4 linked regions of the Stegostoma tigrinum genome follow. The protein of the gene in region 2 purifies or fractionates together with the protein of the main gene of each other region. This does not show direct contact. Links are inferred from orthologs where the notes say so. Each region holds a gene or a part of one and is shown on either strand. Other genes may lie near its edges.

Evidence for each region.
Region 1: the proteins of sf3a1 (region 2) and snrpb2 purify together in Homo sapiens (affinity purification with mass spectrometry; 5 studies listed by BioGRID and IntAct, with this or other methods). This does not show direct contact. The link is inferred for Stegostoma tigrinum from reciprocal best matches to the Homo sapiens genes SF3A1 and SNRPB2.
Region 3: the proteins of sf3a1 (region 2) and xab2 fractionate together in Homo sapiens (co-fractionation; 3 studies listed by BioGRID and IntAct, with this or other methods). This does not show direct contact. The link is inferred for Stegostoma tigrinum from reciprocal best matches to the Homo sapiens genes SF3A1 and XAB2.
Region 4: the proteins of sf3a1 (region 2) and sart1 fractionate together in Homo sapiens (co-fractionation; 3 studies listed by BioGRID and IntAct, with this or other methods). This does not show direct contact. The link is inferred for Stegostoma tigrinum from reciprocal best matches to the Homo sapiens genes SF3A1 and SART1.

The regions. Positions count from the first base shown.
Region 1 is NC_081371.1:23,724,914-23,732,914, forward strand, and holds the start of snrpb2 (U2 small nuclear ribonucleoprotein B''), read left to right. Parts: upstream 1-4,858; 5' UTR 4,859-4,972; intron 4,973-5,233; exon of another isoform or gene 5,234-5,334; intron 5,335-8,001. UniProt on the Homo sapiens protein: Involved in pre-mRNA splicing as component of the spliceosome. Associated with sn-RNP U2, where it contributes to the binding of stem loop IV of U2 snRNA.
Region 2 is NC_081379.1:23,031,926-23,039,342, reverse strand, and holds the start of sf3a1 (splicing factor 3A subunit 1), read right to left. Parts: upstream 3,315-7,417; 5' UTR 3,224-3,314; coding exon 3,170-3,223; intron 1,558-3,169; coding exon 1,445-1,557; intron 1,357-1,444; coding exon 1,155-1,356; intron 1-1,154. Other genes in the region: ccdc157 (coiled-coil domain-containing protein 157), read left to right, coding at 6,297-6,544. UniProt on the Homo sapiens protein: Component of the 17S U2 SnRNP complex of the spliceosome, a large ribonucleoprotein complex that removes introns from transcribed pre-mRNAs.
Region 3 is NC_081388.1:13,420,364-13,427,691, reverse strand, and holds the start of xab2 (pre-mRNA-splicing factor SYF1), read left to right. Parts: upstream 1-4,228; 5' UTR 4,229-4,307; coding exon 4,308-4,343; exon of another isoform or gene 4,344-4,417; intron 4,418-5,616; exon of another isoform or gene 5,617-5,875; intron 5,876-6,647; coding exon 6,648-6,796; intron 6,797-7,328. UniProt on the Homo sapiens protein: Involved in pre-mRNA splicing as component of the spliceosome. Involved in transcription-coupled repair (TCR), transcription and pre-mRNA splicing.
Region 4 is NC_081395.1:7,241,648-7,249,755, reverse strand, and holds the start of sart1 (U4/U6.U5 tri-snRNP-associated protein 1), read right to left. Parts: upstream 3,361-8,108; 5' UTR 3,073-3,360; coding exon 2,832-3,072; intron 2,208-2,831; coding exon 2,153-2,207; intron 1,703-2,152; coding exon 1,647-1,702; intron 15-1,646; coding exon 1-14. UniProt on the Homo sapiens protein: Plays a role in mRNA splicing as a component of the U4/U6-U5 tri-snRNP, one of the building blocks of the spliceosome. May also bind to DNA.

The sequences.
Region 1 (8,001 bases), on a different chromosome or scaffold from region 2:
TACAGTTTTAGATCCTTTGCTGTTTGCTTTACTCTTCCTCAGTTCCTCCCAAACGGTCTCCACAGAATGCTTTGCCCCTGTCACAATTAATATGTCTAACAATTCTTATGTCTAATCCAGAGATAGTAGGAACTGCTGATGCTGGAGAATCTGAAATAACAGGGTGTAGAGCTGGATGAACACAGCAGGCCAAGCAGCATCGGAGGAGCAGGAAAGCTGACGTTTTGGGTAGAGATCCTTCTTCAGAACTGATCATAGCTAGGAAAAGGTTGGTGTTTATGTAGAAGATGAAGTGGGCGGAAAAGGGGAGGAATAAACAAGTCTTGACCTGAAACGTCAACTTTCCTGTTCCTCTGATGCTGCTTGGCCTGCTGTGTTCATCCAGCTCTACACGTTGTTATCTCTTATGTCTAATCCATATGGCTACTCCACCTCTTCCACTATTTTACCTGTCTGTCCTGTAAACCTTATAAAATTATGTATTTAGTTCCCAATCCTGCAGCCATGTCTCAGTAATGGCGATTATATCATAATTTCTAATTTGAATTTGTGCCTGCAGCTCATTTAGTTTATTCCTTCTGCTCCATGCATTCGTATATAGAACACTGTAACTGATGCTTTATTCACCTATTTATTATTTGTCTCTCTTTATTTAATGAATACACTTCTTATAATATGCCATTACTTGTACTTAAAGTACTACCTGAACTCTTAGACTTGACTAGTTATAATTGTATCACCATGATGTACTGTACCTACACCTCAATTCTACAGGAGGATTTTCAGTTATATAGTACCTTTCGTAAACACCAGATAACCCAAATTGTTTACAACTGATTAAGTATTTTTAAACTGCAGCTGCTGTTGGAGAAAATGCAGTAGCCAATTTGTAAACAGCAAATTCCCAAAAATGCCAATGTGATGACTAATACATCTGCCTTTGTCATACTGATTGAGGGAGAAATATTTGCAGAATACCTCAGAAGAGGACTCTTGTCCAAAGAAATAGGCATAGAGGCATAGGCAATGGACAAAGAGTTCAATGTCATATTGTATCAGTAATGCATGAAGGTGGGAGTGCAGGGGAATAAAACTAAGACCTTTACTGAGTACAAAACATTCAGAGAGCGGAAGGTCAGAAGGGGTAGTAAATGCATGACAGAGGTTGGGGTTGGGGTTGGCGGGGTGCTGGAGTTGAAGGAAAGGAAGATTTTGAACTGTATGATTTGTTGGAAAATTGAAGGAAATTGCTGAAACACTACCACATTTTCTTTGGCGATCCTGTGGCCTTCTGGACTCTATCATAAAGTTCAATAATGTTTGTGCCTAAGTGCACACCACCCCACCCCCAACCATTTCATTGTCAGCTACTAATGGTCCCCATTAGCAGTTAGTCATTCTCCCACACTAGCCTTTACCAATTCCTTTTTCTGTCCAACTGGTGTTTTCTCTGTCTGGGATTCTTCTCCACTTATCTTTTCCTCTACCGGACATGCATATGGTCACAGAAATTTGAGGGTGCATACATGAGGATCAATGGTCGGCACAACATCGTGGGCTGAAGGGCCTGTTCTGTGCTGTGCTGTTCTATGTTCTAAACTTCATTGACTCTTCTATGAAATTGTGCCTTGAGTTTTTTTACATCCACATATGAGGGCAAATACAGCCTGTGTTTAAGATCTCATCCGACACAACACTACTGACACTTAAGCACTCCCCCAGTTCAGCAGTACTGCGCTGAATGTCAGTATGTTTTTTTGCTCAAAGTCTGGAGTGGAACTTGAGACAACAATCTTCTAATTCAATGGTGAATGTGCTACCAATGAGTTTGACTAACATTGTGCCCTAAACCTCTGTACCTCTTCAACTCTCTTTATTCTTTAAGATTCTCCTTAAAACCTTCTTAAAATCTTTTCCTCATTTAATCCCATAGATAGTTCAGTATGAAGCAACTTGTGATATTTTACTATTTTATAGGTACTATATAAGTGTAAATAAAAAACTGTTTACAATGATCGGATAAAATTCACACTCTGGTTCTGGCTGACTATTTTAACAACAAAAGATTAAAGAAAACATACTTCCATTGTGTGAACATAACAGTTATCAGATCTGGGTTTAAAGATGAAAGATTATTGTATTAGCCATGGTCTCATCGAGTGACGGACCAAAGTCATGGGCTAAATGGCTTACTTATGCTGCTCCATTTGATGGCCTTATAAACACTGACATGACATTTCCGAAAGTTAGTGTCTATTATTCATTTAACAAAAAAAACGGAAGAACTGCCGATGCTGGAGATCAGAAACAAAAACAGAAATTGCTGGAAAATCTCAAAAGGTCTGGCAGCATCTGTGGAGAGAAAGCAGAGTTAACATTTTGGGTCCAGTGACCCTTCTTCAGAAATGATGGTAGCTAGGTAAAGGTTTGTTTGTATGTTGTGGGGTAGTGGGTAGTAGAAATGATAAGTGAAGATGGGGCTCAAAGACAGAGAAACAGTTGGATAGATGAAAGAATGAGTAAAGGTCAATCTAGAAGAATGAATAGCTGCTAATGGTGACTATTAGTAGCTAACAATGGGTTGTGTGTGGTAGCAGCCTGTGATGGGAAAGCCTGATGTGTGGGGGTTGGGGTAAGGACATAGGAGAAGGTGCTCAAGGCCGAAAATTGTTGAACTGTATTGAATCCAGAAGGCTGCAGAGTTCCCAAGCAGAAAATGAGGTGCCTTTCTTCCATCTTGCACTGAGCTTTGCTGAAGCACTGCAACAAGTCAGAGACGGAGATGTTGGCTAGGGAGCAGGCTGGAGTGTTAAAGTGGCAGGCAATGGGAAACTCAGTTTTTTTTGTGGATAGAATGCAGGTGTTCAACAAAGTGGTCACTCAGTCAGCTCTTTCTTTCCCCAATGTGGAGGAGACTACATTGTGAGCAGCAAATGCAGTAGACTAGATTGTGTGAGCGCTGGTTCACCTGGAAGGTGGGTTTGGGCCTTGAATGGTGAGGAGGGAGTAAGTCAATGGGCAGGTGCTACACCTTCTGTAATTGCAGGGGATGGTGCCGTAGGGCTACGGGTACATTTTTGGAATGAAGGAGGAGTGGACAAAGGTATTCCAGAGGTAACAGGGAAGGGAATATGTATCTACTGGTGGCATCTCGCTGGAGGTTGCAGGAACAGTTGTTTATGATCCTGTAGATGTGGATTCTCGTGGGATGTTAGGAGAGGACAATGCGGACTCTGTTGTTGTGGGTGGGAAGAAAGGGCATGAGAGCTGAAGCGCAGGAGCTGGGCTGGACCTATCTGAGGTCCCTGCCAGCCAGGGAACTGGGGAAAGGACAACGCATAACTCATTGACAGCTACTAATAGTTCCCATTAGCAGCTATTCAATCTCCCAGTTTGACCTTTACCCATTCCTTTGTCTGTCTTTGGTTTCCAACTCCACCTGTTGTTTACTCTTCCCCTTCTCCCCCACTTCATCTTCTTCATAAATGCCAACCTTTTCCTAGCTATGATCGGTTCTGAAGGGTCACTGGACCCAAAACACTAACTCTATTTTCTCTCTACAGATGCTGTCAGACCTGCTTTCTGTTTGCATCTATTATTTATTTATTGTTTACTAATCAAAATTTGCAATTATGTACATGTCAATCCTTAATTAACCAACATGTAACAAATGACCAATATAGTGGAGATAACAAGGTGTTGAGCTGGATGAACATGGCAGACCAAGCAGCATCAGAGGAGCAGGAAGGCTGATGTTGTGGGCCTCGACCCTTCTGGAAATGTCAGCCTTCCTGGTCCTCTGATGCTGCTTGGCCTGTGTGTTCATCCAGCTCTACACCTTGTTATCTCAGATTCTCCAGCATCTGCAGTTCCTACTATCTCTGAACCAATAGACACCACTGAACGCTCAGATGGAAGATATTCAGAGAGCTGCAAAATTACTTAGGACTGAATTTTATCTTCAGGACTGTGAGAACCATAGCTCACTATGTAACCAAAATACTGTTAATGTTGGAAATATAAAACTAAAACAAAGTGCTAGAAATGCTCTCCAGGTCTGGCAACCTTTGCTAACAGCTGGATCTTCTGATGAGTGGCGATCGCCTTTGCATTGCTACTGCACTCTTTATTCTGCATAGGATCAGCATTGTAAGTTACACCCTATTTGAGGCAGTAATTGGTCTATTCCATGATATTAAAGTCGCAAGATAATTTGACAAGCTAATTTAACAAGGCTCAGAAGGGGGCAACGTGAAAGATAAGGAGTGTAAGTCATGGGGTAGTTTTTTTGGGGGTGCACTCCACAGTGAACTGGGGATGGGACATCAGATTTTAATCCTTTCCTTGGGTGAGGACGCGTTGTAGACTTTCATATTGGGTCGTTGAGGCTGGGTGAATTTAAGCATACTGGTGATTCAATCTTTTTTATATCACCAGTTAGCTTACTCATATGAATTGCCAGAGGAAATGGTAGATGCAGGTTTAGTTACGACATTTGAGATACATTTGGGTGGGTATATGAAAAGGAAAAGTTTATAGTGATATGAGCCAAATAGAGATAAACGGGACTAATTGAGATGGGAGAGAGAGAGAGAGAGATAATGGGAACTGCAGATGCTGGAGATTCCAAGATAATAAAATGTGAGGCTGGATGAACACAGCAGGCCAAGCAGCATCTCAGGAGCATAAAAGCTGACGTTTCGGGCCTAGACCCTTCATCAGAGATGGAGTCTAGGCCCGAAACGTCAGCTTTTGTGCTCCTGAGATGCTGCTTGGCCTGCTGTGTTCATCCAGCCTCACATTTCATTATCTCAAAACAGCACGGGGCGGTTTGATGAGGTCATCAACGCGCGACGCAGATGGTTGGTCGCGCGTTGAAGAGGTCATCAACGCGCGACGCGGATGGTCGGTCGCGCGAGTCGGAGAAAGATCGAGAAGTAAAAACCCTCGTGAGCGTGATAGTGAGGAGTAGGTATGGAGTTGTGCTTCGGTGGGGTCGGCGAATGGGACTGCTCACTTTAATAAAATAGTCTGCTTCTCCGACCGAAAACTGGTCTCGGTTGCTGTCTCCAGTGTTCCAAGTGTGTTTGGCGTGTAGTTGCAGTCGGGTTTGAGGAAACACTATGCCGGTTGTAGTCCACCTTACGTATTTGGTTTGTAGTAACCTAGAAGCAGCAACTCCTCTTTCCCGCCGTCAGTAATCCCGTAGCATTTTCCAGAGATGTTCAGAAATAAACTGAAACCGAAAGGAAGAATGAGGAAGGGCCTGGCGGGGTGAGCTGAAAGCCTGTGAATGCAATGTAGTATGTGAGAAGGTCGGAAAACATTAGTGCGGTGAGTTGTAGGAGCTTAGAGGTAAACTAAAGAAAGGAATTAAACAGGAATTTTAGATTGAGTAGTCTAGAAGCCACCGTAGTAACGCGGTCACAGTGAGAGGTGAGCGGAACCGAGTTTACGATGGGATACGTGTTGCCAAGTTTTGGAGGAGTTTGTGTTTTAACATGTGGAGGCTAAGAGCATCTTGAAATAATTGTTTGCGGACCAAAATTTCGGGGATGGATGGGCGAGGTCAGAGCTACATTTAAATAAAAAATATGTTTCTTCTGTTTTTGGATATCGTAACGTTGCTTTTCCATGCAGTAGAGAGGTTGAGAGAACAAGAGTGAAAGTGTGGAAGCATGTAAACAAGAAAGGGAAAAAGTCCCGAAATAAATACTAGTTGGGTTACTATTGGGGTAGTAAGTGGGTTGACCTACACCCTTTCATCTAGCCTGCTCAGTTATCTCGGATGGAGATTTCTAGACATTCACAACCCTCCTGAAAGGGGGATAGTCATCTCTTTAAAAATCCATTGTGGAATCAGAGAACACCTGACAATGGTTTGTGATTCTCCCAGCAATGGTAAAATCTTTTGAACACTTACCTTGTCAAGCCCACCCACCATCTAAGATGTTTCAATTAGATCAGCCCTTGTTCTTCTAAACTCTATAAAGGCCTAAGCCTTTGCTTGATAAGTTAAGGCCAGATCCCAGGAATCAGCCTAGTAAATCTGTTTTGAACTACGTGCAGTGCCAGTATATTCTTTCCTGAATACATGGACCAAAACTAAAGACAGTACTCCATGTGCAGCCTCACCCTGTACCCAGCTGTAATAATTTCCCTGTTTTTAACTTCTGACCCTGAACAATAGAGTCAAAAATTGTTTGTCGCCTTAATTATTTGTCGAAGCTGCGTGCTATATTATTGCATTTCATTTGCAAAAGCTTTCAGATCCTATGTTGCTGTCTTGTGGAGTCTATCTCCATTTTAAATAATAGTCTGCCTTTTGACCTGATAATTTGTTACATTAAATTTGTCTGCCAAGGTTTTGTCCACTCTCTCATTCTCTGTTCCCTTGCAGATTCTTTGCCTTCACTATATGCACTGCTACCTATATTTGTGTTATCAGCAAATTTGGATATATTACACTTTGACCCTGCCAAGCCATCAATATTGATAGCTTGATGGATAATATTTGAGACTCTGCAGCTCTCCACTAGTTGCATCTTTTACAACCTGAAAAAGTCCCCTTAATCCTGGCTCTCTCTGTCTTCTGCATGTAAACCAACATTTCTCATTTTAATTCATTGCCTCCAGTACTGAGAACTACTTTCAAAAAGTAACATAGTGAATTGAGGGCAAAGCGTTGGACGTGATTTGTATGGACTTCAGAATGGATTCAACAAGGTTCCGCATGGCAGACTGGTAGTGAGGTTAGATCGCATAGAATACAGGGAGAACTAGCCATTTGGATGCAGAACTGCTTCAAAGGTGGAAGACAGAAAGACAGAGGGTGATGGTGAAGAATTGCTTTTCAGACTGATAATTGACTCCTAAATTGGTGGTGAAGTGGACAGCCAAGAAGGTTACCTCACAGTACAATGGGACCTTGATCAGATGGCCCTGTGTGTCATGGAGATGGAGTTTAATTTAGACAAATGTGAGCCCCTGCATTTTGGAAAGGCAAATTAGGGTAAGACTTATATACGTAACGGTAAGATCCTGGGGAGTGTTGTCGAATAAAGCGACCTTGGAGTGCAGGTTCATGATTCCTTGAAAGTGGAATGGCAGGCAGATAGGATATTGAAGAAGGTGTTTGGTATGCTTGCCTTTATTGGTCGGTGCATTGAATATAGCAGCTGGGAGGTTGTGTTACAGCTGTGCAGGATATAGGTTTGGCCACTTGTAGAATATTGCATTCAATTCTGGTCTCCCTGCTATAGGAAGGATGTTGTGATCCTTGAAAGGACTCAGAAAAGATTTACAAGTATGTTGCCAGGGTTGGAGAGTTTGAGGGAGAAGCAGAATAGGCTGGGGCTATTTTTTCTGGAGCATTGGAGACTGAGGGGTGTCCTTAGAGATTCATAAAATGATGGCTAGAGTGAATAGGCAAGGGTGGAGGAGTCCAAAACTAGAGGGCATGGGTTTAAAGTTGGAGGGGGAAGATTTAAAAGGGACCTAAGGGGCAACTTTTTCAAACAAGGGGTGGTGCCTACGTGGAAAGAGCTGCTAGAGGAAGGGGTGGAGGCTGGTACAATTACAGCATTTAAAAGGCATTTGGATGGGTATGTGAATAGGAAAGGTTTAGAGGGATATGGGCCAAATTCTGGCAAATGGGACTAGATTAATTTAAGATATCTGGTTGGCATGGGCAAGTTAGACTGAAGAATCTGTTTCCATGCTGTGTGATTCTGTAATTAACCTGTTATGGGGCACCTTATCGTATACTTTCTGGAAATCCAAACATATTATATCTTTTGGTTCCCCTTCTCAACTCTGCTTGTTATATCCCCAAAGAACGCTACCAAATTTATCAAACATGATTCCCCTTTTACAGAACTGTGTGGGCTCAGTTTGATTGTTAAGCTTTTCTAATAACTTGCTATTTCTTTTCTTGATAATGGACTCTACTGTTTTCCCAAAGACAAGTGTTAGGTTAGTTAGCCTACAGCTTCCTGTTTT
Region 2 (7,417 bases):
GCACTGGTGATGACACATTTCATCACTTTACTGATGATCAAAAGTAGGTAGGTAATTGCTTGTTTGATTTTGCCCTGATTTTTGTACAGAACATACCTGGGCAATTTTCCACATTATCAGCAATACCAGTGCTTTGGCTGTACTGGAACATCCTGGCTGGGCGAGTGGAAGGCTCTGGAGCACAAGTCTTCTGTACTGTTGCTGGAATGTTGTCAGCGCCCTAAGTCTTTGCAGTAGCCATGGCCTCTAACTGTTTCTTGATATCATGTGGAGTGAATCAAATTGGCTGAAGACTGGCATCTGTGATACTAGGGGGCACTGAAGGAAACCGAGACAGATCATCCACTTGTCACTTCTGGCTAAAGACTGCTGTGAATGCTTTAGCCTTATCTTTTGCACGGACGTGCTGGGCTGTTCCATCATTGAGGATGGGGATATTCATGGAGCTTCCACCTCCAGTGAGTTGTTTGGTTGTCCATCTCAATTCATGATGTCAAGTGGCAGGATTTCAGAGCTTAGATCTAATATATTGATTGCGGGGTCACAAAACTCTGTCTATCACTTGCTGCTCATGCTGTTTGGTAGCTTTGCCAGGTTGACACCTCATTTTTAGGTATGCCTGGTGCTGCTTATGGCATGCCCTCCTGCACTCTCCATTGTAATAAAAATTTGGTGGTTCAAAGTCAGAACTGAAATGTTAAATCTTTCTTCCTTCTCCATAGATACTGCCAGTGTTGTTGAGTAATTACGGCATTTTTAGTTTTCATATAAAATTTACACCATAACTTCATGGAGTCACCCCTCCCATTTCAGAGGATTCTAACAGCATTACACCCTCCAAAATCTGTGTCTTCAATTCTGTCCTCCTTTTCCTAATCTTAATTACTCCACCTTCCACAGCCATGTTTTCATTGCTAAGGCTATAAGTATGGAATTCCCTCTGTAAGCCACTGCCTTAAATGCTCTCTTTTCCCTTGAGATGCTCCCCAAAATCCTCCTTTTTGATCAAGTTGTCGATTAGCCATCCTGATATTTACTCAGAATATTCAGTGTCAAATTTCATTTATTAATACTCATGTGAAATGTTTCAAGACATTTATCTGTTAAGAAGTATTTACATAATTACAAACTATCATTACCGTCAAATTACTCACCTTCTGCGGCAGCTGTTGTTGCTGCTGCTGCTGCTGCATAACCTTCGGTATAGCAGCTGAAGGTTCTTGTCCTTTCCCCTCCTTGAACTCATTAACCTTGTGCCGGTAATATGCATGGTAAGGATCATTTGGATTCAAGAAGTTAAACTTGGAGTTGTTTATCTCATTTTGACGGATTCGAGCTTCAAATTCAGGACCATTCCTAATCAAAGCAAAATGATTTGCACTTTTAAACTCAAAGGGTTTAGTATAGCAAATACAACATGCAGTTGTTGGAATTTAGCACTCACCTCGCTACAAAACTTGCAGTCTTATCTACGATGTTTCTGACTTCAGGAGGAGGATAAATAATACCAACAATGGGTTTGGATGTTGCAGATTCATCTTTTGTTTCTTCTGGCAACTTTAAAAGAAAATTAAACAAGTGTCACTAAATTCTTAATCATCTTTAAGCAGCTTAATGACTTTAAAAATTATCATAATCATAAGTTCATGTCTGCAGATGACAGAATCAGATTGTAGAAATGACACTTTTGTTCCAATTAACCGCCAAAACACATCATTCGTTGAAATAAAAACACTCATGCTATGTTAGGATGGCAACAGCACATATACTTCAGCACAATTTATGCTGATGACCAAGCCGTTGAGGTAAATTATAGGAAGTCGCTACCTCCCCAACTGTTTTGACATACCAGTTGTCCAATCATCATGCTGGGGTCTGGACTGGAGTAAACAGGTTAATACAGCTCCAAAATCACATATCTGAGAACAACATTTTCAAATACTGCAAAAACTAAAACCAGACAAGTGCACAGCACTCCAAAGCACTATGCTAATCTGTCTCATTGATGGATTACAGCTGCCAAAGGGGTACAGAATTCTCCCTAGTTAGCTGAAGATATCATTACAGTCAATATGCTACAAAGGTGGTCTACCTGGGCAAGCAGCAAAGTATATTTCAGTGCTTTGTGATGGTAGACTGCACAATTTTAACTCATCATAAATTGCCATCACCCCTCCGCAAAGCAAACAATATTACTTTTTGGATTTTTTTGCCTAAGATTTTTGGACTTGGAACACGTGCATTCTTTTCAGTTTTTCTACCTATACTGTATTGGGCAAATGAAAACTTGTTAGTTCCGTAAAGATCCATGCTAATTATTTACTGTTGTACTGGGATCGAGCACATCTGGACCATATGAACTCGAGAATATACAATTTGACTACAATTTAGGTGCCCTGTAGTGTACTTTGTTCACCTCCATCTTCTCCGTCCAACTGACAGATAAACTTTTATCCGCACCTACTTTAATGACAATACCATAATGCTATAAAAGTAATCAGTAATAGTTGTAATACTAAAGTCTTTTAACATAAGCTGTTTTACAATATTCAGCACTTCAAAGTATCGTATTTCCCATTATCAACTGTTTACGAATGTGTGCAGGCTGGACGAAGGGATTTATTTAAGTAACGTATAACCATCCGGATTGCAGGCTGACAACACGGCCGATTTTAATGCATGATAAACACAGCCCTTGTTGCCTCTGAACGACCGGACACTTGTGATAAATCAGACTAACATTCCGCCAACGTGTGGATTATTTACACACATTTGGAGGAAGAGTCACCGGATCAGAAACATTAACGCTTTTTTTCCTTCACAGATGCTGCCAAACCCGCTGAGCTTTTGCAGCAACTTTGTTTTTGTCCCCGATTTACAACATCCACAGTTCTTTCGCATTTAATTTTGTGTGAATTATTTGATCGTGCGCCTGACAGATTTTTCCAGGACTCAGCTTGCATAACCAACAGATAATACAGCCTGGAGAAAGGATAATAGCCACGAGCTCGGAATCCGGGGATCCAAGACCAATATGCGAGTTCCAGGCCCAGAGCCTGCGGTTTGGAGGCCTCAGTTTTCTCTTATTCTGGCATGGATGGGGGGGGGGGGGGGGCACCACACCGGGCCAAGGTTTTTTTTTGAAACCTCTTTCTGTTTTAAAACCCACCTGGTTATTTTCAGTCTGAGGTGGCGGCAACGCCTGTACAGGTCCGGCCGGCATGGCTTCGGCACCGAACAGGGTTTAGAAGTGCAATCCCCCACCCCAGCCGTTCCGCGAACAAAACTCGGGCTAAACAAGATGGCGGCTACGGCCCGCACCATCCACCTCTTCATGGGGGGGGGGAAATGGGATATGCACATAACATAAAAGTTCTTCCCACACATTTAATTCGGTTTCCATCTCTCACCACCGTTTAATTATTCACTACTTTTCTTATAATACTGTTTTTATTATGTTTGAACGGTAAAGTCTCGTGTTTGTTGTTAGTTTGCCTGGCACAGTCCTTACGTCTTATGACGAGCAGGTACGTAAACGCACGATGACGTTACAGTTACGTTACGTGCGTCCATGACAGCACGTAGTCAACAGCCGGAGTGAAGCTAACGGTCAATCGCAGGTAGGTACAGGCTCAGTGACGAAGTTTGAATCAACCTCATCAGGCGCACCTTTGGAGTCGGTGAAACTTGATTCTAGGACTTCATACCTAAAATTATTTGTCCAGCGTATTCCCATCATGCCACTTCTTGCCGCCGCGATATATCTTGGGCTTGGAACCCTGGTGCTAACAAATGAATGATTCATTGCTTATTCAATATGGGGCAAATTTCGGCTCAGTGGGATGCGGAGGGGGGCGTGGGTGCTTTGAGGTTTTGAAATGCAGCCGTCCCCCCCGTCCCCCCCCACCATGACCAAACACGTCCGTTGGGGGTGCTCCTCTTCTCCACACCCGCCCTCTGAGGATGTGTTTCCCTCCCCTTCCTCGAGGTGATTCGTCCTCCATCCCCCTCCTGCTTGAGGTTTCCTTCTCCTTCCTGAAGTGCTTTTCCCTTAAACTTCCTCAAGGTGCTTCTTCCTTCCACCGCAATGTCCCTTCCCCCAACCTCCCCTCTAGATACTATTCCATCTGAGGCAGTGCTTTGGGACTGATGCTGACTCACTTCCATTGGTTCTCAAATGTCCAAGCAGTCCAATGCACCCATTTGCAAAGTCTGTTACATGTGGGGCAAAGTTGGTGCTGTTTGACTGACTGACTGACTGCCTGGGGGTGCAGGAATCGTTTGGAGGTTTTACCCAAAACCTTGACTTCGTCTCAACAAGGTTTCTGCATGTGTTCAGCGATTTCCTGAATGAATCTTCTTATTTTGGTTCCCACACAAGCCAGGTCGAGGGGAATGTTTGACCTCTTTAAGGGTGTTTTAAGGACTGCCTAAAGCATTTCCACAGTCTTCCTTTTGCAACAGAATAGATAAGGTAAACTATTTCCGCTGGCTGGCAATTTTCAAACAAGGAGTATGTAGTCTAAAAGTTAGGGGCAGGCTATTCAGGAGAGGTGTTAGGAAGCACGTCTAGACACACAGAGGGTGATAGAGGTTTAGAACTCTTCTGCAGACAGTAATTGATGTTAAATCAGTAGCCAATTTTAAATCTGAGGTAGATACATTTTTGTTAAGCAAAGGTATTAATGGGATGTGGACCAAAGATAGGTATGTGGGAATTTAGGCCACAGATCAGCCATGTCTCATTGAATGGTGGATCAAGTTCAAAGGACTACTCCTGTTCCTATGTTCTTATAAGCAAGTTCTGAGTAGAGCAGTTGCTTCAGGAGCCTGGTGTCAGGCTATGAACAACATGTCTTACCTCATCGAGCTAGTTTTAATTGATCAGTCATGATGCTGGACAAATTGACTTGGGAAATGCTGCTTTTGGTCCATCTTTCCTGATGTCGGAAGATAGAACATAGAACTGTGCAACACTGAAACAGGCTCTTTGCCTCAACATGTCTGTGCTGACCATGATGCTGTTCTAAACTATTCTCATCTGTCTGCACATAGTCTTTAGCCCTCTACTCCCTGCCTGTTCATGTGTCTGTCTAAATGCCTCTTACACAGTGCTGTTGTGTCTGCTTAACCACTCTTCTTTGCAGTGCATTCCAGGCACGCACCACCCACTGTGTAAAAATAAAAATTTGCCTCGCATATCTCCTTTAAACTTGGCCCCCTCACCTTAAACCTATACGACCTAGTATTTGAATCCCAAGAAGGCCCATGAACATGCTAACTGTTGATTCTTCGTCCAACTGACTCTTTCATCGTGTGAGCAGATTTTTTTAAACAATAGAAGACACTGCTGCCAAATATAATCTTTTCTTCTCTTTGTCAGCCCCAAACAACTACTTCAACTTCTTGGACGATGAATAATGAGCCTTATCTAATTTCCTCTGTCATCCCTCCTTCCACTGAATTCCTCCAGAAAAATAATGTAAAGAAGGATCTTTTTAAGTATTTATGCAAGATGCAGAAATTACCAAGATGCTTTTGTATCTATAACAGTAGTTGGTTTTGTTCTCAATCAAGGCTACAGAATTGTGATTACTCCAATACAACATTCTACTGCAGAATTATAAATCAGAAAGCTGTTAGAATGGTTGCAATTTCTGCATATAAAGCATGGTGTAAGGGACTTGCATTTTCCCCCTCCATCAGTTCCATTAAATCCTATTGTTAATAAACAACTATTAACTTCAGGAAATAATTTTTTAAATTACCCAAAAATTGAATTCCATGCCTAATTCTTTCATTTAGGAAACATAAATATTAGTAGTAATGGCTGTTGGGCAGATATTTTTATTGTCATGTGTGATATTAGTAAACCAGCACTACTGGAAAACTATGAACGTTCATTATCACTGTGGTTCGTGTAAAATTCTGTCAATTCTTTTGACAGCAACTGCCAACATATTAAATATTACTGCTTTGTATGTAGACTTATACTTGCAATAATTTGTAGATCATATTGTGCATTAAGTCGTGTGAAAATATTTTTAATCTGGTAGCAGATATTTTATAAGGTTAGTACAAAGTAAACAATACTGTATTTACATTAAATTACAACTTAAAGGTGATATTTGCTTAAAATCGTTGAATCAACTTTCTTAATCTAATTATTTTCTATTTCTTGCAGATAAATTGCCCTCGTGGAGTTATTATTACAGGCTCAGATACTTTATACAGAAATAGCAGTTTCAATTTTCATAAGAAGGTGCATTTCATATTCTGATTTCAAGGCCATTAAAATGACACTACTTTTAGGAAATCAAAACTGTTTGGATGGTTTGCGCAAGGATGTCACAGATGTACAAGGGATAATCATAGATGTATTTTCACGAGTTGGTGCAGTTCGCTATCCATCATGGAAGTTTCCAGATAAAACATCATGTGATTTGGATCTTGTTACTTTATTGAACCGTTTTGATTATGTAGAAGATGACCCAGAGTTCACACAGCATTCTCATATTGTGCTATTTGAGTTGGTGATTGACAGGTAAGGTACAAGTTGTTCTTTGGCTTTTCTCCAGAAAGTACCAAACATGCTCACAATAATTCATGCTGGAAACAATCACAATCTACAGTGGTAATGCCTCATGCACATAGAATGTCAGCAGATGTTTACTTCCTTCTGACCACTTAACCCATTATTTTTGTGCCTCAATTTTGCCAAAATAGAAGTGACTTATTTTTCATTAATTGAGGTAATACTCAATGAGGATATGCCTAAGATCCACACTTACTTACATTGTTCTGTTGCTGCTGTTTTCAGTAATTGTTCTATGCTGAGATGTTGATTTCTCTGAATGGAGTTTTTGAAAATTACTCAAATATTTTGGAAGTACCTGTACAAATATTGTCTATTTCTTTTATTGTTGTAGCAACTCTGTTCACAGGCTGTTGTTGATCCCGGACCACATAAAAACAGGTGTTGAAAGATTTAAATTCCAAGGTTAAATTTTATGATATTAATTAAATGTCATCAAATGTAATTTAGTGATCCAAAAAACATTTGAATAATAAAATAACTATTTTCAAGAGAATGATTAAATAAATTTGTTTGTTTGTCCAGACCTGTTCATCCAGAAGCAATCTTTCCCCTCGAAACTTTGTGACATATCCCAAATTGATAATGGAAAGTCCTGTAATACCGAGTACCATCCTTTCAGAAAGCCAAACACCTTGGTTGAACTATGGTTGGAATACTGCTATATCACCTTAAAAGGATGGGTATCTTGGGGAAATCTTAGAGGTGGATAAGGAATTAGTTGTAAGTAACAAAGAAGAGAATTAATGGAAATTCTTGGCAGGTTTGACACAAAAAAGATGAAATATGAGATTATTAGCATTGGACTAACTTATCTCTGTA
Region 3 (7,328 bases), on a different chromosome or scaffold from region 2:
TCATGGATGTATCTAAATGTCTTTTAAATATGGTATTTGTACCCACCTCTTACCACTTCCTCTGACAACTCATTTCAATCATTCCAACCCTCTGTATGAAAAGGTTGCCCCACGGGTCCTTTTTAAATCTTTCACCTCTCACTTTAAACCTATGCCCCTCTAGTTTTGGACTCCCCTCCCCTGGGGAAAAGACCTTGACTATTCACACTATCCGTGCCTCTCATGATTTTGGAAACCTCTGTAAGGTCACCCTTCAGTCTCCAGTGCTTCATGGAAAATGTTCTAGCCTATCCAGCCTCTCCTTATAAATCGACCCTTCAGTCCTGCAACATCCTTGTAAATTTTTTTCTGCGCCCTTTCTAGTTTAACAACATCCTTCCTATAGCAGAATTGTATGTAGTATTTCCATTTGTGGCCTCACTAATGTCCTGACAGCTGCAATATGACTTCCCAACTCCTATACTCAATGCACTGACCAATGAAGGCAAGCATGCCAAATGCCTTCTTCACCACCCCATGTAACTGCAACGCGACTCTCAAGGAACTACAAACCTGCGCCCCAGGTTCCTCTGTTCAACAACATTCCACAGGCCCCTATCATCAACTGTTGGACATAAAATCCTACTCTGCTTTGCCTTACCAAAATAGAACACCTTGATTTAACTAAATTAATCTCCAGCTGCTACTTCTCGGCCAATTGGCCCATCTGATCAAGATCTCATTGTACTCTTAGGTAACCTTCTTCACTATCGACCACACCACCAACTTTAGTGTCATCTTCAAATTTAGTAACTATACCTCTTAAAATTTCATCCAAATCACAAATATAAACAACAAACAGTAGACTGAGAACCTATCTTGCACGCACTGCTGGTCACAAACATCCAGTCTGAACAACAACCCTCTACATCCACTTTCTGTCTCCTACCATCAAGTCAATTTTTGTATCCAATTGGCTAACGCTCTGTGGATCCCATGTGACTTAACCTTACTAAGCAGCCTACCACACAGAACCATGTCGAATACCTCGCTAAAGTCAATGTAGACAACATCTACCGCTCTGCCTTCATCTATCTTCTTCGTGACCTCTTCAAATAACTCCATCAAGTTTGTGAGACACATTTTCTCAGGTTAACGGTCCCCTCCAGTTCAGGTTCAGCCCAGCCCTCTTGAAAAGGTCACTTCTGCCCCAGAAGAGATCCCAATCATCCAAAAATCTGAATCTCTGCCTCCTGCACCAGCTCCTCAGCCACCCAATCATCTGCCCTATCTTCCTATTCCTACTGTCACCAGCATTTGGCACCAGGAGTAATTCAGTGATTACTACCCTTGAGCTCCTGCTTTTTAACCTCCTGCCTAACTCCCTGTGTTCTCCCTGTAAAACCTCATCCCTTCCTCAACCTATGTCAATGGTACCTGTGTGTTTAATGTCTTCCGTCTGTTCACTCGCCCTTTATGAATTTTGCTGTGCCTTCTCCAACACGTCCTTGCCTCTGGCACTAACCCAAGAAAGGGTCAATGCCCTTAGATGCTGATAATAAATAAGTAAATAAAGTCATCTTTGGCTTTTAGAGTCATTGAGATGTACAGCATGGAAACAGACCCTTTGGTCCAACTCGCCCATGCCGACCAGCAATCCTAAATTAATCTAGTCCCATTTGCCAGCATTTAGCTCATATCCCTTTAAACTCTTTCTATTCACGTACCCCCATCCAAATGCCTTTTAAATGTTGCAATTGTACCAGCCTCCATCACCTCTTTTGGCAACTCATTCCGTACTGAATGAGTATGGAATGAGCTACCAATTCCAGCAGCTCATTCCATACTCATTCAGTATGGAATGAGCTGCCAAAAGAGCTCATTTAAAAGTGCAAGGTGTACTTTTAAATCTTTCACCTCTCACCTTAAACCTAAGCTGTCTAGTTTTGGACTTTCTACCCTGGGGAGAAGTCCTCGGCTATTCACTTTATCCATACCCTTCATGATTTTATCAAACTCTGTATAAGGTCACCCCTCAGTTTCTGACACTCCAAGGAAAATAGCCCCAGCCCATTCAACTCTCCCTGAAGCTCAAAACCTCCAACCCTGGCAACATCCTCCAGTTCTTTCAGTTTTTAAAATTTTAAAAAATCTTCTCTTTCAAGTTTCACATCCATCCTACAGCAGGGAGACCAAGATTGAATGCAGTGTTCCAAAAGTGGCCTAACCAATGTCCTGTGCAGCTGCAATATGACATCCCAAGTCATATATTCAATGCACCGACCAATGAAGGCAAGCATTCCAAACCTCATCACCGTTTTCATAGACATCTCAATATATGTCAGCAACGAATCTCACATTTGTTGCTTTGTTCTGGTCATTTTCTATATTAACCAGCTCAGTGATGTTTTACACACTCTGGAGCAGGAAGGGCTTGAATCTAGGCCTCCTGTATCAGGGGTAGGGATTTTACCACTGCACCACATAGACTTGCTCTAGATTGTTACCCCATAAGCAACCTATTCAGATGTGAAACCTCTTATTAAAACCTCCAGGGCAAGGTGGGTGTTGAACGCAGGTCTCCTGGCTGAAAGGAAAAGGCACTACTGCTGTACCACATGGCCACATGTCAGGTTCTTGTTCTAACCCAGAGGACTAATACAATTAATGCAATTTGTCGAACATTGTGTGTAAACCAGTTACAGTCTCCTATTTACCGTCATACCCAACAAAAACACAGTTGCTGGAAAAGCTCAGCAGGTCTGGTAGCATCTGTGAAGGAAAAAACAGAGTAACGTTTAGGGTCCAGTGACCCTTCCTCAGAACTGAGGGTGGCTGGGAAAACGTCAGTTTATATGCAGAAAATAGAGAGTGGGGTGGGGAGTAAACAATAGGATTGAGCCCAAAGAGAGAGAAAGACAGTTGGACAGACAAAGGAGTTGATTACAATCTGGCTGGGAGGGTGAATAGTTACTGACTACTAACAGGAAGTTATAACATGGCAGGCTATGTGGTAACAAGAGATAGTAGGAACTGCTGATGCTGGAGAATCTGAGATAACAAGGTACAGAACTGGATGAACACGGCAGGCCAAGCAGCATCAGAGGAGCAGGAAAACTGATGCTTCGTGTCGAGCCTCTTCTTCAGAAATGGGGAAAGGTAAGGGGATTCTGAAATAAATAGGGAGGGAGGGGGAGGCGGATAGAAGATGGATAAAAGAGAAGATAGGGTGAGAGGAGATAGACAGGTCAAAGAGGCAGGGATGGAGCCAGTAAAGATGAATGTAGGTGGGGAATCAGGGAGGGGATAGTTTGATCCAGGGAGGACGGACAGGTCAAAGAGGCGGCATGAGGTTGGTGGGTAGGGGATGGGAGTGGGGGTTTGAGGTGGGAGGAGGGGATGGGTGAGAGGAAGAACAGGTTAGGGAGGCAGGGACAAGTTTGGCTGGTTTTGGGATGCAGTGGGGGGGGGGGGGGGGTGAGATTTTGAAGCTTGTGAAGTCCACATTGATACCATTGGGCTGCAGGGTTCCCAAGCGGAAATGAGTTGCTGTTCCTGCAGCTTTCGGGTGGCATCTTTTTGGCACTGCAGGAGGCGCAGGATGGACATGTCATCTGCGGAATGGGAGGAGGCATTGAAATGGTTTGCGACTGGGAGGTGCAGTGGATTGTTGCGAACTGAGCGGAGGTGTTCTGCAAAGCGGTCTCCAAGCCTCTGCTTGGTTTCCCCAATGTAGAGGAGGCCACACCAGGTACAGCAGATGCAGTATACCACATTGGCAGATGTGCAGGTGAACAAGTGTGTGGTAACAAGGCTTGGTATGTGGGGTTGGGAAGCTGGGATATAGGACAGTTTAGGCCCTAAAATTATTGACCTGCTGAGCTTTTCCAACCACCTCTGCTTTTGTTCCAGATTTATAGCATCCCCAATCCTTTCAGTTTTTACCATCAGACCCAATAGGGGCGGTATCAACTGACAAGTCCAATCACTATCCGTGTTTCCGTGTCAATCAGTTTGTCTTGTCCAATAGAAATCGGAATATGCGTCGTCGCCCCGCGGAAATGATCCAATCAGAAACGGATTCTGCCGTGTCCAATCAACTGCCGAAACCGGTGGTATTAACAGCCCAACGTGCAGGCATCGTGAACTTATTGGTCTATATGCCTGTCGATCGACAATGTTATCCAACCACCTGCCGCTATGGGCGGGATGTTGATGACGTTCGGCATGTCCACCAATCAGAGTGGCGATAGGGTTTGCTCCCTGGGCCTTAGGTTGGGTTCGACGCCTTTTCGAAGCCTCGGCGTAGGCTGCGGCCGCGGGGCAAAATGAGCGTTTTTTTACAGAAACACGATGTTATTTTTGTAAGTGAATCGTATAACTCCGAGATGACAGCTCCGAATTCAACATTCCTTGTTCGCTGAGCTGGTCTTTGAGGGTAGGCCTCAGCTGAAGCCTCGGCCTCGATTTATTTTGTTGGTCTCCCACGGCATTAACGGCTTCTTTATCACTTCCCCTTCAGGAACCGTATGGTCCTACTTTTTCTCTCTTTTCTATGTTTTGACTTAATAAGTAAAGTCGCAGAGCAGCTGCCCCAGTTTTGTCAACCACATTGATTTCAGAGTCCCAAGTGAAAGTGAGCTTCTTTACACTGTCTCTGTGTTGCTGCTCAGTAGTTGTTGGAGCTGACAGGCAGTCATATTGCTACTGGCTGATCGGAGGTAATTTGTTCGCCCTCGAGAGAGCCGGCATGTGAAAGGAAGAATTTGAATTTATATAGTGCCTTTTTTCAGCCTCAAAATCCCTACAGTGTAGAAGCAGGCCTTTCAGCCCTCGCTGACCTTCCGGAGAGCATCCCATCCAGATACCACTCACTCATCACCACCTCCCCAGCCTCATTTTCCATGGTTAACCCACTTAGCCTGCACAACCCTGAACACTATGGGCAATGTAGTATGGCCAGTATACCCTAACCTGGACGTCTTTGGACTGTGGGAGGAAACCCACATAGACACAGGGAGAATGTGAAAACTCTACACAGACAATTGCTTGGGGGTGGAATCAAGCCCATGGAAGGGCCTAGGCCCGAAGCGTCAGCTTTCCGGCACCGATGCTGCTGCTGCTTGGCCTGCTGTATTCATCCAGCTCTACACCTTGTTATCCCATGTCACTGGCACTGTGAGGCAGCAGTGCTAACCACTGAGCCAGCCTACCAACATCTCATCCGCACTCCATGACCAATGATGTGCTTCACTCGTGTCAGATATGAAATACAGCAGCTATATGTTCTACAGCAAGCTCCCACAGATAGCAGTGTAATTATGAGCAGATCATTATGTCATGTTAGCTGACTAGGACACTGGGGAGAGATACCAGTGCTCAGAAATAGCACCATGGGATCTTTCACATTCACCTGCTAGAGCTGACAGAGCCTCAGTTTATGAATATATGAAATAGAAGCAGGAATAGGTCATTTAAATCCTCAACCTGTATGGAACGAGCTGTCAGAGGAAATGATAGAGGCGGGTACAATTACAACATTTAAAAGACGTTTGAACAGGTACATTGAAAGGAAAGGATTAGAGGTATAAGGTTTAAACGCAGTCAAATGGGGCTAGTTCAGTTTAGGACACCTGGTTGGCATGAACGCGTTGGACCAAAGGGTCTGTTTCCATGCTGTATGACTCTCTTTAAGTCTGCTCAACCATTCAGAAAGGTAATGGCAATACCAACTCCTGCTGACCCACCAGTGACCTTTTGACCTTGTGTGAACAGTGGTGGCACTGACAGCACAGCCCTCCTTCGGGACTCAGCTGGGAGCATCAGCCTTGAATATTGTGCTGAAATCCTAGACTGGGATTTGAACTCAAATGACGTGTAATCAACAATAGCTTCAGTAAGTAATACATTTGAAGGAAGCATTTTGCGACTGACAGATGATTCTTTTCCATAGTTTACACTTCAGTTCTTTAGATTGCAGTACTCAGCTTCAAGAAGATACTTCTCAAAAACTATATTTGCACTGAATGCTGAAAATTGGCCTACAAATCTTTAATTCTGTAAACCTAACTTGTCGACTTAAAAATGATTGTCAGCAGATACGACAGTTGTGGAAAAGAAACCTGAGATTTGATACCAGTTAAGTACCTTACTGCATTGGTAAACATTGTATAAACAGGGCAGCCCCAGCAAAAGATTGTCTTCAACTATCCTTTGTCAAATGTTTACAAAATTGCTGTTTGTTGCTCAAGTCAAATACTTCAGTCTTGCTGTTCGTGTTCCCAAAATACATTTGGAGTGTCAGGATTGTAAATTCTTGATATGCCATTTGGTTACAGCTTGGGCTTGGCTGTTACAAGTAACACCAAGCTGAACACAAATTGCTGCGTGAACTAATTGTATAATTCCAAGTTAAATGCTAAGTACAAAAACATTTTCTTTCTTCAGAAGTGCGTTAGAAAGTTCACAAAGAAGTTTCGAAGAACTTTTTGTAATAGATAAATTGATAGTGACAGATCAGTTTTACTTTATCAAGTTGCTGTTTGTGTTGTCAAAGGTGACATTTTACATGCTGTCAGTGCCACATTTTCCCCGAGAGTCTGATAGCTGGTGACTTGCGTGCATCCCCTGGGCTTCATTCTGTCCACTTGTTTGAATCTCTTTGACAGGAAGATGATGATCTGCCATATGAAGAAGAGATCATTCGCAATCCTTACTCTGTTAAATGCTGGATCCGCTACATAGAGTTTAAGCAGTCTGCACCCATACATGTGGTGAACATGATTTACGAGAGAGCGCTTAAAGAACTTCCTGGCAGGTATTGTTTCTTAGTGGAAGCAACAAGGTCTAGTGATTACATGGGGGCATTAGAGACTTTTGAGATCAACACCTGACAGAAGCTGAGATAACAAGGTGTAAAGCTGGATGAACACAGCAGGCCAAGCAGCATCAGAGGAGCAGGAAGGCTGATGTTTTGGGCCTAGACAAATGTCAGCCTTCCTGTTCCCCAGATGCTGCTTGGCCTGCTGTGTTCATCCAGCTTTACACCTTGTTATCTCAGATTCTCCAGCATCTGCAGTTCCTACTATCACTAACAGAAGCTAATGGTTTGTTCAAAAGATCAAAGATTAAGCATAGATCAAATTTTGTATCTTGTCTGCATCAATCACACAGTTTATGCAAAAGAATTTTGCCTTGTGATGTGTCAGTTGCTGGTGTTTTTAATAATCCTTGATAGCAGTGGTTTACATGTAACTGGAATTAACAGCTTTCGCCCACTTGGAGCTTTTGCTTCAGAGGTGTACGGTCAGCTCACTTAGTGAAGCACTTTAATGATGTGCATCTGAGGA
Region 4 (8,108 bases), on a different chromosome or scaffold from region 2:
TGTCCCGGTCTCAGCTGCAGCAGTGTGTGGGGCGGGGGGGGGGGGGGGGGGGGGGGGGGGTGGGGGGGAAGAGGGGGGCAAGGCAGAGAGAGCGAGAACATGTTAGCACAGCAACTCCCTTCGAAAACAGACAAGTTCACAGTGTGGTCATTGCTGAGATTTGGGAATCCCAGAGACTAGTCTGGGCATGTCACGATGGCCTGTCACGCTGCCTGAGAGTACATAATTGCAGGAGGAACTCCACAAATCAGCATCCCCACAGATCCATTACCATAGAAGGGGTCTCTCCTGAAAGACGCCAACCCACCGCAATGCCCTGGAACGCGTCCAAGATGATGGCTCCAAGCCTCTGAGGTTTTGGACCTTACAACCTCCTCTAAGTCTAGCAGTAAGAGACTGTTGCCTTCTCAGCTGTGAAGCTGTCAACCTTAAATTGAAGGGTAAAAACACTAGGGGAAAAATAAAAGCTCCATCTGGTTTTTGTCTCGAGGTCCAAACTCTCATTCCATTTTCAAATGTCAGAGCACCAGGACTCTGTCCCAAATCTCTCGTGAGTGGCCTGCTCTTCCCCTGAAGGCTTTCTAACCCTAAAGCCAGCACCACCCTCACCTTCATTCTCACACAACACAGGAAGCCATTTAGCTCACCGTGGGTCTCCTTTTGAAAGAGCGATTCATTTAGTCCCAGTCTCCTCCACACCCAGTTTACAGAGCCCCTGCAGGGTGTAAGTAGGTCATTCGGCCCAACTGGTCCACACTGCCCCTCCGAACAGCACCCCACCCAGACCCATTCCCCTACCCCTACATTTCCCACCTTTAGCCCACCCTAACCCGCACATCCCTGGGCACTATGGGACAATTTAGCACGGCCAATCCACCCTAACCTGCACATCCCTGGGCACTATGGGACAATTTAGCACGGCCAATCCACCCTAACCCGCACATCCCTGGGCACTATGGGACAATTTAGCACGGCCAACCCACCCTAACCTGCACATCCCTGGGCACTATGGGACAATTTAGCACGGCCAATCCACCCTAACCCGCACATCCGTGGACACTATGGGACAATTTAGCACGGCCAATCCACCCTAACCTGCGCATTTCCGGAAACCGGAGCACCCAGAGGAAACCCACGCAGATGCAGACAGTCGCCCGAGGGTGGAATCGAACCTGGGTCCCTGGTGCTGTGAGGCAGCAGTGCTCACCGCTAAGACACCGTGTTCTTGTCCCGCAGTCCTGGAATTGGGACTTTTTAAGCTCAATTATTTATCTTCAAAAGTTCCCACTGAATCTGCTCCCACCACCCTTTCGTGAAGCACTTTCCAAGTTACAACAACTCTGCACTTCAGAAAAAAAATCTCATTTCCCACTCTTCAGATTCCCTTCACCCTCCTGTCAGTAGAATTAATCCCCCAGTCCTTGCGTGATCACAACCAGTGCTGTTTGCCAGCAAATCTCGCCTCAACCCTCCCCCCGCCACCTCCCCCAGGTAACTGAAGTCACTCGTAGCCTGGGTCCTATTTCTGCTCAACTCTGTCTGCAATCGATCCAGAACGGCCCTTTCAGTTCAACTGTTCGGTCCCTCCGATACCCGTTCCCCCTTTCTACAGCACAGAAATCACTTTCAGAACAAACTGGACTCACTCTTTTTCGAATCATTTACTTCCAGGGGTTTGAGCCCGAGCTTGGCTCTCAGCTTGCTGCAGAGAACAGAGGACAATTAGATCAGAAGGCTTCACTTTTCTATAAATGCCGATCACAGGGCCAACCGCGAGCATTTGACGGCCAATCAAGCAATTCTGAAATCTGCCAGCCATCCTGCGCACAGCAAGCTCCCACAAATAAGGATGACAATGACAATGCAGCGATACTAATGCTGGGTGGTGAACGAACGCTGGCGCTAAGGACACAGGCAGGATGCTCGTCCTTTGCTTCTTAGCTATGGGATTTTTTTTATAAATAACCGACCCAACAAGGAAGATGGGGCTTCAGTTTAACACGATAGCGTGGAGCTCCCTCAGCGCTGACCCTCCGACAGTACAGCGCTCCCTCGGTCCCGAAAGGGCAGCCCTGTGCCTCTCATGTGTCCCACAGTCACCACCACAGATCAGATGGACCGAATGGCCCGAGACTGCTGCAAATTCACTCACTTTGTTTCTTCGATGCTCAAGGAGGCGCTCGCAGCACCAGACTTTGTCCCTGGAGCTGAAGGTGAAGAGAATGTGCAGTGAGAACAGGTTCACTCGACATGCAGCACATTCCTAATCGCTGACCACAACCACCCCCTGGAATCCAGGAGTGTCCAAAAGCTTAAAGCTTGCTGCAGGGACACATCCGCAGGAGGCTTGCACACACCTCCAGACTGCTGCCCGCAAAGACCCTCACCCGACAATCCCTCCCAGTGCCCTACTCCTCACTTGGAGGGACCCTGTCTGTACCAACCTCACCCCGGCTGGTATAGGGGAAGGGGTACCCCTTCCCCTGGCACCTCACTGCAGAGAGACCCCAACCTTCCCACCAACCAGGACATGGAAAGTGGGGGGGACTCTGGCCCCAGTCCTCAAAGATGGAAGGGGCTTTGGCCCCGATCCTTGCTCGTGCCAGGGTCAGGGAGCGACGCTGACCCTCAGCCGCACCCCCCAACGCAGAGAGTAAGAGATTCTGACACCAAAGCCCACCCTGAACGGATAGGGAAGGGGGGGAGGGGGGGAACATGAGACACTCTGGCCCCCCAGCCCGTGCTCTGCCCCAGGGGGGTCTGCAGATTCCCTACCCTAGGCCGTTTCCCACCCCCACCCCAATTACTCTCGTCACCCCGGCATCTCTGACCTGCCTCCTCGGTCTTCTCCCTCTTGGGGTGCCGTTCTGGCTGGGCGTCGGCGGCTGGTGCGGGGAGGGGTCTCTTGTCCCGCTCGCGGTCCCTGTCCCGGTGACGGCGGCCCTCCCTCTCCCGGCTGCCCCCGCGCTGCTTGCGCTCCTTGTGTTTGTGCTTCTTGTGGCGGGCCGACTCCTCCCCACCCCCTGAGCCCCTCTCCCTCTCCCTCTCCCGGTGCTTCTTGGAGGATCCCATTGTCCGCCTTTAAACCCCCCACAAACCCCAATCCCTGTGTCTGTCTGTGTGTCTGTGTGTGTCTGTCTGTCTGTCTCTCTGTCTCTGTCTGTCTGTCTCTCTGTCTGTCTGTGTGTGTCTGTCTGTCTCTCTGTGTCTGTCTGTCTGTCTCTCTGTCTGTCTGTCTGTGTGTGTCTGTCTGTCTGTCTCTCTGTGTCTGTCTGTCTGTCTCTCTGTCTGTCTGTCTGTGTGTCTCTCTGTCAGTGTGTCTCTGTGTGTCTCTCTGTCTGTGTGTCTGTCTGTCTCTCTGTCTGTCTGTGTGTGTCTGTCTGTCTGTCTCTCTGTGTCTGTCTGTGTGTCTCTCTGTCTGTGTGTCTCTGTGTGTCTCTCTGTCTGTGTGTCTCTCTGTCTGTGTGTCTCTGTGTGTCTCTCTGTCTGTGTGTCTCTGTGTGTCTGTCTGTCTCTCTGTCTGTGTCTGTCTCTCTCTGTCTGTCTGTGTGTCTCTCTGTCTGTGTGTCTCTGTGTGTCTCTCTGTCTGTGTGTCTCTCTGTCTGTGTGTCTCTGTGTGTCTGTCTGTCTCTCTGTCTGTGTCTGTCTCTCTCTGTCTGTCTGTGTGTCTCTGTCTGTGTGTCTCTGTGTGTCTGTCTCTGTCTGTCTGTCTCTGTCTGTCTGTCTCTGTGTGTGTCTGGGGGGGTGGTGCAGAGATGGGTCTGACAGCAGCAGGGGGCGCGCACTCGATCACGCGCAACTCACCGCAGACGCGCGCTCTCTCACACGGCCCACGGCGGGAGTGGGGGGCGGGGGTGAGCGCGCTCTACACGCACCCGCGGGTGGTGGGTGCGCGCGCGCACTAACTGTCGGTCGCGCGCACCACGGCTCGGCTGTCCCGGAAAACGCGCGGTCACGCTCCCGAGAGATGGATGTTTGACGAGGGAGAGGGGGGACGACGCGCGTCCCAGGTCGGTCACGCGCGCCCCCGGGAGCGCGCGCAATCACAGAAAAGGGGGGGTAGGCGCGCGCGCTGAGGTTCGGCGGAGGGTGGGGGAGCGAGCGACAGGGTCGCGCGCTCGCAATCGACGGGGGCGCGCTACATCCCGCGCTTGTGGTTCACGCGCTGTTAGGGAGCTCCGAGCCGGGAACGCGCGCCGTTCACCGAGGCCGCGCCTTTCGGGGTTTAGTGGCGTGCGCGCTCCCCTCCCCGTCGGACACGCGTGCCGCGCGCGCTCCCGTTGCCGGGACCGGTGTCTCCTCGCGCTCCGGCCGAAAGACGTCGCCTCCGACTAAGATGGCCGCCACTTTCCGGTTGACCCTTCACCCCGTCCCCTCTCCCTAAACGTCACATCCTTCCCCGCCCTCTTAAAGCGGCAATTTACCCGCTTTTTTAAAAAAATCGATTATGTTTCCCTCCTAATCGTCTCTTCACAATAAAATGTTTTGGCTACAGATTCCGGCACGATTTCTCCATCCACTTTCACACTTCTACTGCTGAGTCTATTTAAAGTTGTACAATGGAAAGTATTCCCCCTTCTAAAGCCCTCAATCCAGGCCACTCTCTCCACACTCAGCACAACCTCATTGATCTTCAGCAAACCGGCCTCCAAATGCATCCGACACTGTTTAATTCAATAACTTTTTCTCCCAGTAGGGAGAGTGAGTGTATTGACAGAGTTTTATGTACAGTTTGGAGCTGTAGAGGGAGCTTTACTCTGAATCTAACCCCGTGCTGTCCCTGGGGAGTGTTTGATGGGGAACGGTGTTGAGGGAGCTCTACTCTGTATCTAACCCCGTGCTGCCCCTGTCCTGGGGAGTGTTTGATGGGGGACAGTGTAGAGGGAGCTTCACTCTGTATCTAACCCTGTGCTGCCCCTGTCCTGGGCAGTGTTTGATGGGGAACAGTGTAGAGGGAGCTTCACTCTGTATCTAACCCCGTGCTGTCCCTGTCCCTGGGAGTGTTTGATGGGCGGACAGTGCAGAGGGAGCTTTACTCTGTATCTAACCCCGTGCTCTCCCTCCCCTGGGGAGTGTTTGATGGGGGACAGTGCAGAGGGAGCTTTACTCTGTATCTAACCCTGTGCTCTCCCTGCCCTGGGGAGTGTTTGATGGGGGACAGTGCAGAGGGAGCTTTACTCTGTATCTAACCCTGTGCTCTCCCTGTCCTGGGGAGTGTTTGATGGGCGGACAGTGCAGAGGGAGCTTTACTCTGTATCTAACCCCGTGCTCTCCCTGCCCTGGGGAGTGTTTGATGGGGGACAGTGCAGAGGCACCTCTAAGTGCGATGTGATCACTGTAGCTGAGTGTTGGGGCATGGATTGAGGCGAATTAACTGGCTTCGTGAAACTATCATCATTGCAATAATTCTGACATCCCCGATCATCCTCTTGGGACGTGGGGTCGATTCCTACTGCGGCAGAAGAAAATTAAACGGGATAATTGCGGAGTTGAAACCCCCATTCTGAGTTTCAATTCTGTAGAATAAAAATAATCTGATCACTGACGACCTTTCGAGAAGGAAACACCCGAAGCAGTGACGTGCTCCCGCTTCTAAGCAATTGTCTCTTAACTGGCCTCCGAAATGGTCAAACAAAAATTGAGGACGGTCCACAGACACGTCCACGAGAGCGAAATAAATGAAAGTGAGTTAGTTTGAGTCCGTGCCGCTACAGTGGACCGCAACGAGGGGTGAGAGCGGGGATCAGAAGGGATGGAAGGAAAATATCACCAAGACAACACCCAGGTTCAGCCGGTAAATGGGAAAGCAAATGGATTGCTGGCTTTTATCTCAAAGGGAATGAAGTGTCAGATATTATGACGACCTGCTGAAACTAAGAGGAAATATCGAAACGTCAGCCTTCCTGCTCCTCAGGTGCTGCCTGGCCTGCTGTGGTCATCCAGCTCTACACCTTGTTATCTAATTGACAGTTTTTTAAAAAAATTCATTTTGTGGGACGAGGGTGAACTACACAGTAAATGGAAAAGTCCTGGGGAGAATTGATGAACAGAGAGATCTGGGTGTTCAGGTCTATTTTTCCCCTGAAGGTGACAACGCAGGTCAATAGAGTGGTCAAGAAGGCATACGGCATGCTTTCCTTCATTGGGCAGGGTATTGAGTACAAGAGTTGGCAGGTCATGTTGCAGTTGTGTAGGACTTTGGCTTGGCCACATTTGGAGTACTGTGTACAGTTCTGGTTGCCACATTACCAAAAGGATGTGGATGCTTTGGAGACGATGCAGAGGAGGTTCACCAGGATGTTGCCTGGTATGGAGGTGCTAGCTATGAAGAGAGGTTGAGTAGATTAGGATTATTTTCATTAGAAAGACGGAGATTGAGGGGTGACCTGATTGGGGTCTACAAAATCATGAGGGGTATAGACAGGGTGGAAAGCAAAATGCTTTTTCCCTGAGTGGGGGACTCAATTACTAGGGGTCATGAGTTCAAAGTGAGAGGAGGAAAGTTTAAGGGAGATATGCGTGGAAAGTTCTTTACACAGAGGGTGGTGGGTGCCCGGAACGCGTTGCCAGTGGAGGTGGTAGACGCAGACACGTTAGCGTCTTTTAAGATATATCTGGACAGGTACATGGATGGGCAGGGAGCAAATGGACCCGACCGTTAGAAAAGAGATGACAGGTTAGACCGAGGATCTTGATCGGCGCAGGCTTGGAGGGCCAAAGGGCCTGTTCCTGTGCTGTAGGTTTCTTTGTGGGCGTCACTGGCCGTGCCCAGTATTAATTGCCCTGTCCCTAGTTGGCCTCCGTGAGGTGGGGAGCTGCCTTCTTGAGCCGCTGCAGTCTGTGTGCCGTAGGTAGACCCACAATATCCCTTAAGGAGGGAATTCCGGGATTTTGACCTCAAACGGTGACGGAACAGGCGATACACTTCGAAATCAAGATGGGAAGTGGCTCGGAGGGGATTGTGCAGGGGGTGGTGTTCCCATGTTCCTGCTGTCCCTTGTCCTTCTGGATGGAAGTGGGTGGTGGGTTTGGAAGGTGCAGTCTGAGGAGCCTCGGTGAGTTTCTGCAGGGCGTCTTGTAGATGGTAGACACTGCTGCGACTGAGCGTCGGTGGGGGGAACCTTTTTGGTCTCCCTCTTGGGGAAATGATATGTTGGCATTAGGAAGTAGTCCAGAGAAAGTTCAGTTAGTTGATACAGGGTACAGAGTTAATTTCTTTTGAGGAAACGTTAAGAAGGTTGCGCTGGGAATAAAATGAGGAGACCACATGGATAAATACAAGATTGTAAGGGGTTTGACAAGGTGGATGTGATTTTCATTGTGGCATAATCTCAGAGTAAGTGTTGCCCAATTAAGAGGAAGATGCTTTTTTCTCATCAGGGAATGATGAATCTGGGCTATTTCTTACAACAGACAGCTGTCCAGGTTGGTTCGTGAAGTACGTTCAGGTCTGAGGGTGACATTTTTCGCAGCAGGGGAGTCAAAGATTATGGGGACAACGCAGGAGAGTAGAGTTCAGGATTGTCAGATCAGCTACCATTGCATGGAATGGAAGAACAGTCTCGATGGGCCGAATGGTCTATTTCTGCTCCGAGGCCTCAAGAGGAGAAGCCGCGTCAGCACTGGGATTGAGCGCGGTCGTGATATGCTCCGCGGAATAAAGAGTTCGAAGTTAGATTCTTCACCCACAACTCGGTTCCTAACAGTGAAGTGTTTATTTCTGAAAATTCTTATAAAACCACAAACAACCGTCAGAAACAAAGAAAAGATTCACCAGGTCCACCACCGGGAGGGCCTCGAACCGTCAGGGTGTGTGTCAGGCGCGAGGTAGCCTCAAGAGGCAACAGCAGTGTAGAGGAGACAGCTGGTGAGGCCAGGGTGGAGCTCATGGCCTGGAGCAGAAACCGGGCAAGTCCTGTGTGTGTGTGTGTGTGAGTGCGTGTGTGTGTCTGTACATGTGTGAGTGTGTGTGTGAGTGTGTGTGTGTGTGTATGTGTGAGTGCGTGTGTGTGTATGTGTGAGTGCGTGTGTGTGTGCGTGTGTGAGTGCGTGTGTGTGTGTGTGTGTGCGTGTGTGTGTGTGAGAGGGAATGTGTGTGGCTGGTGTGT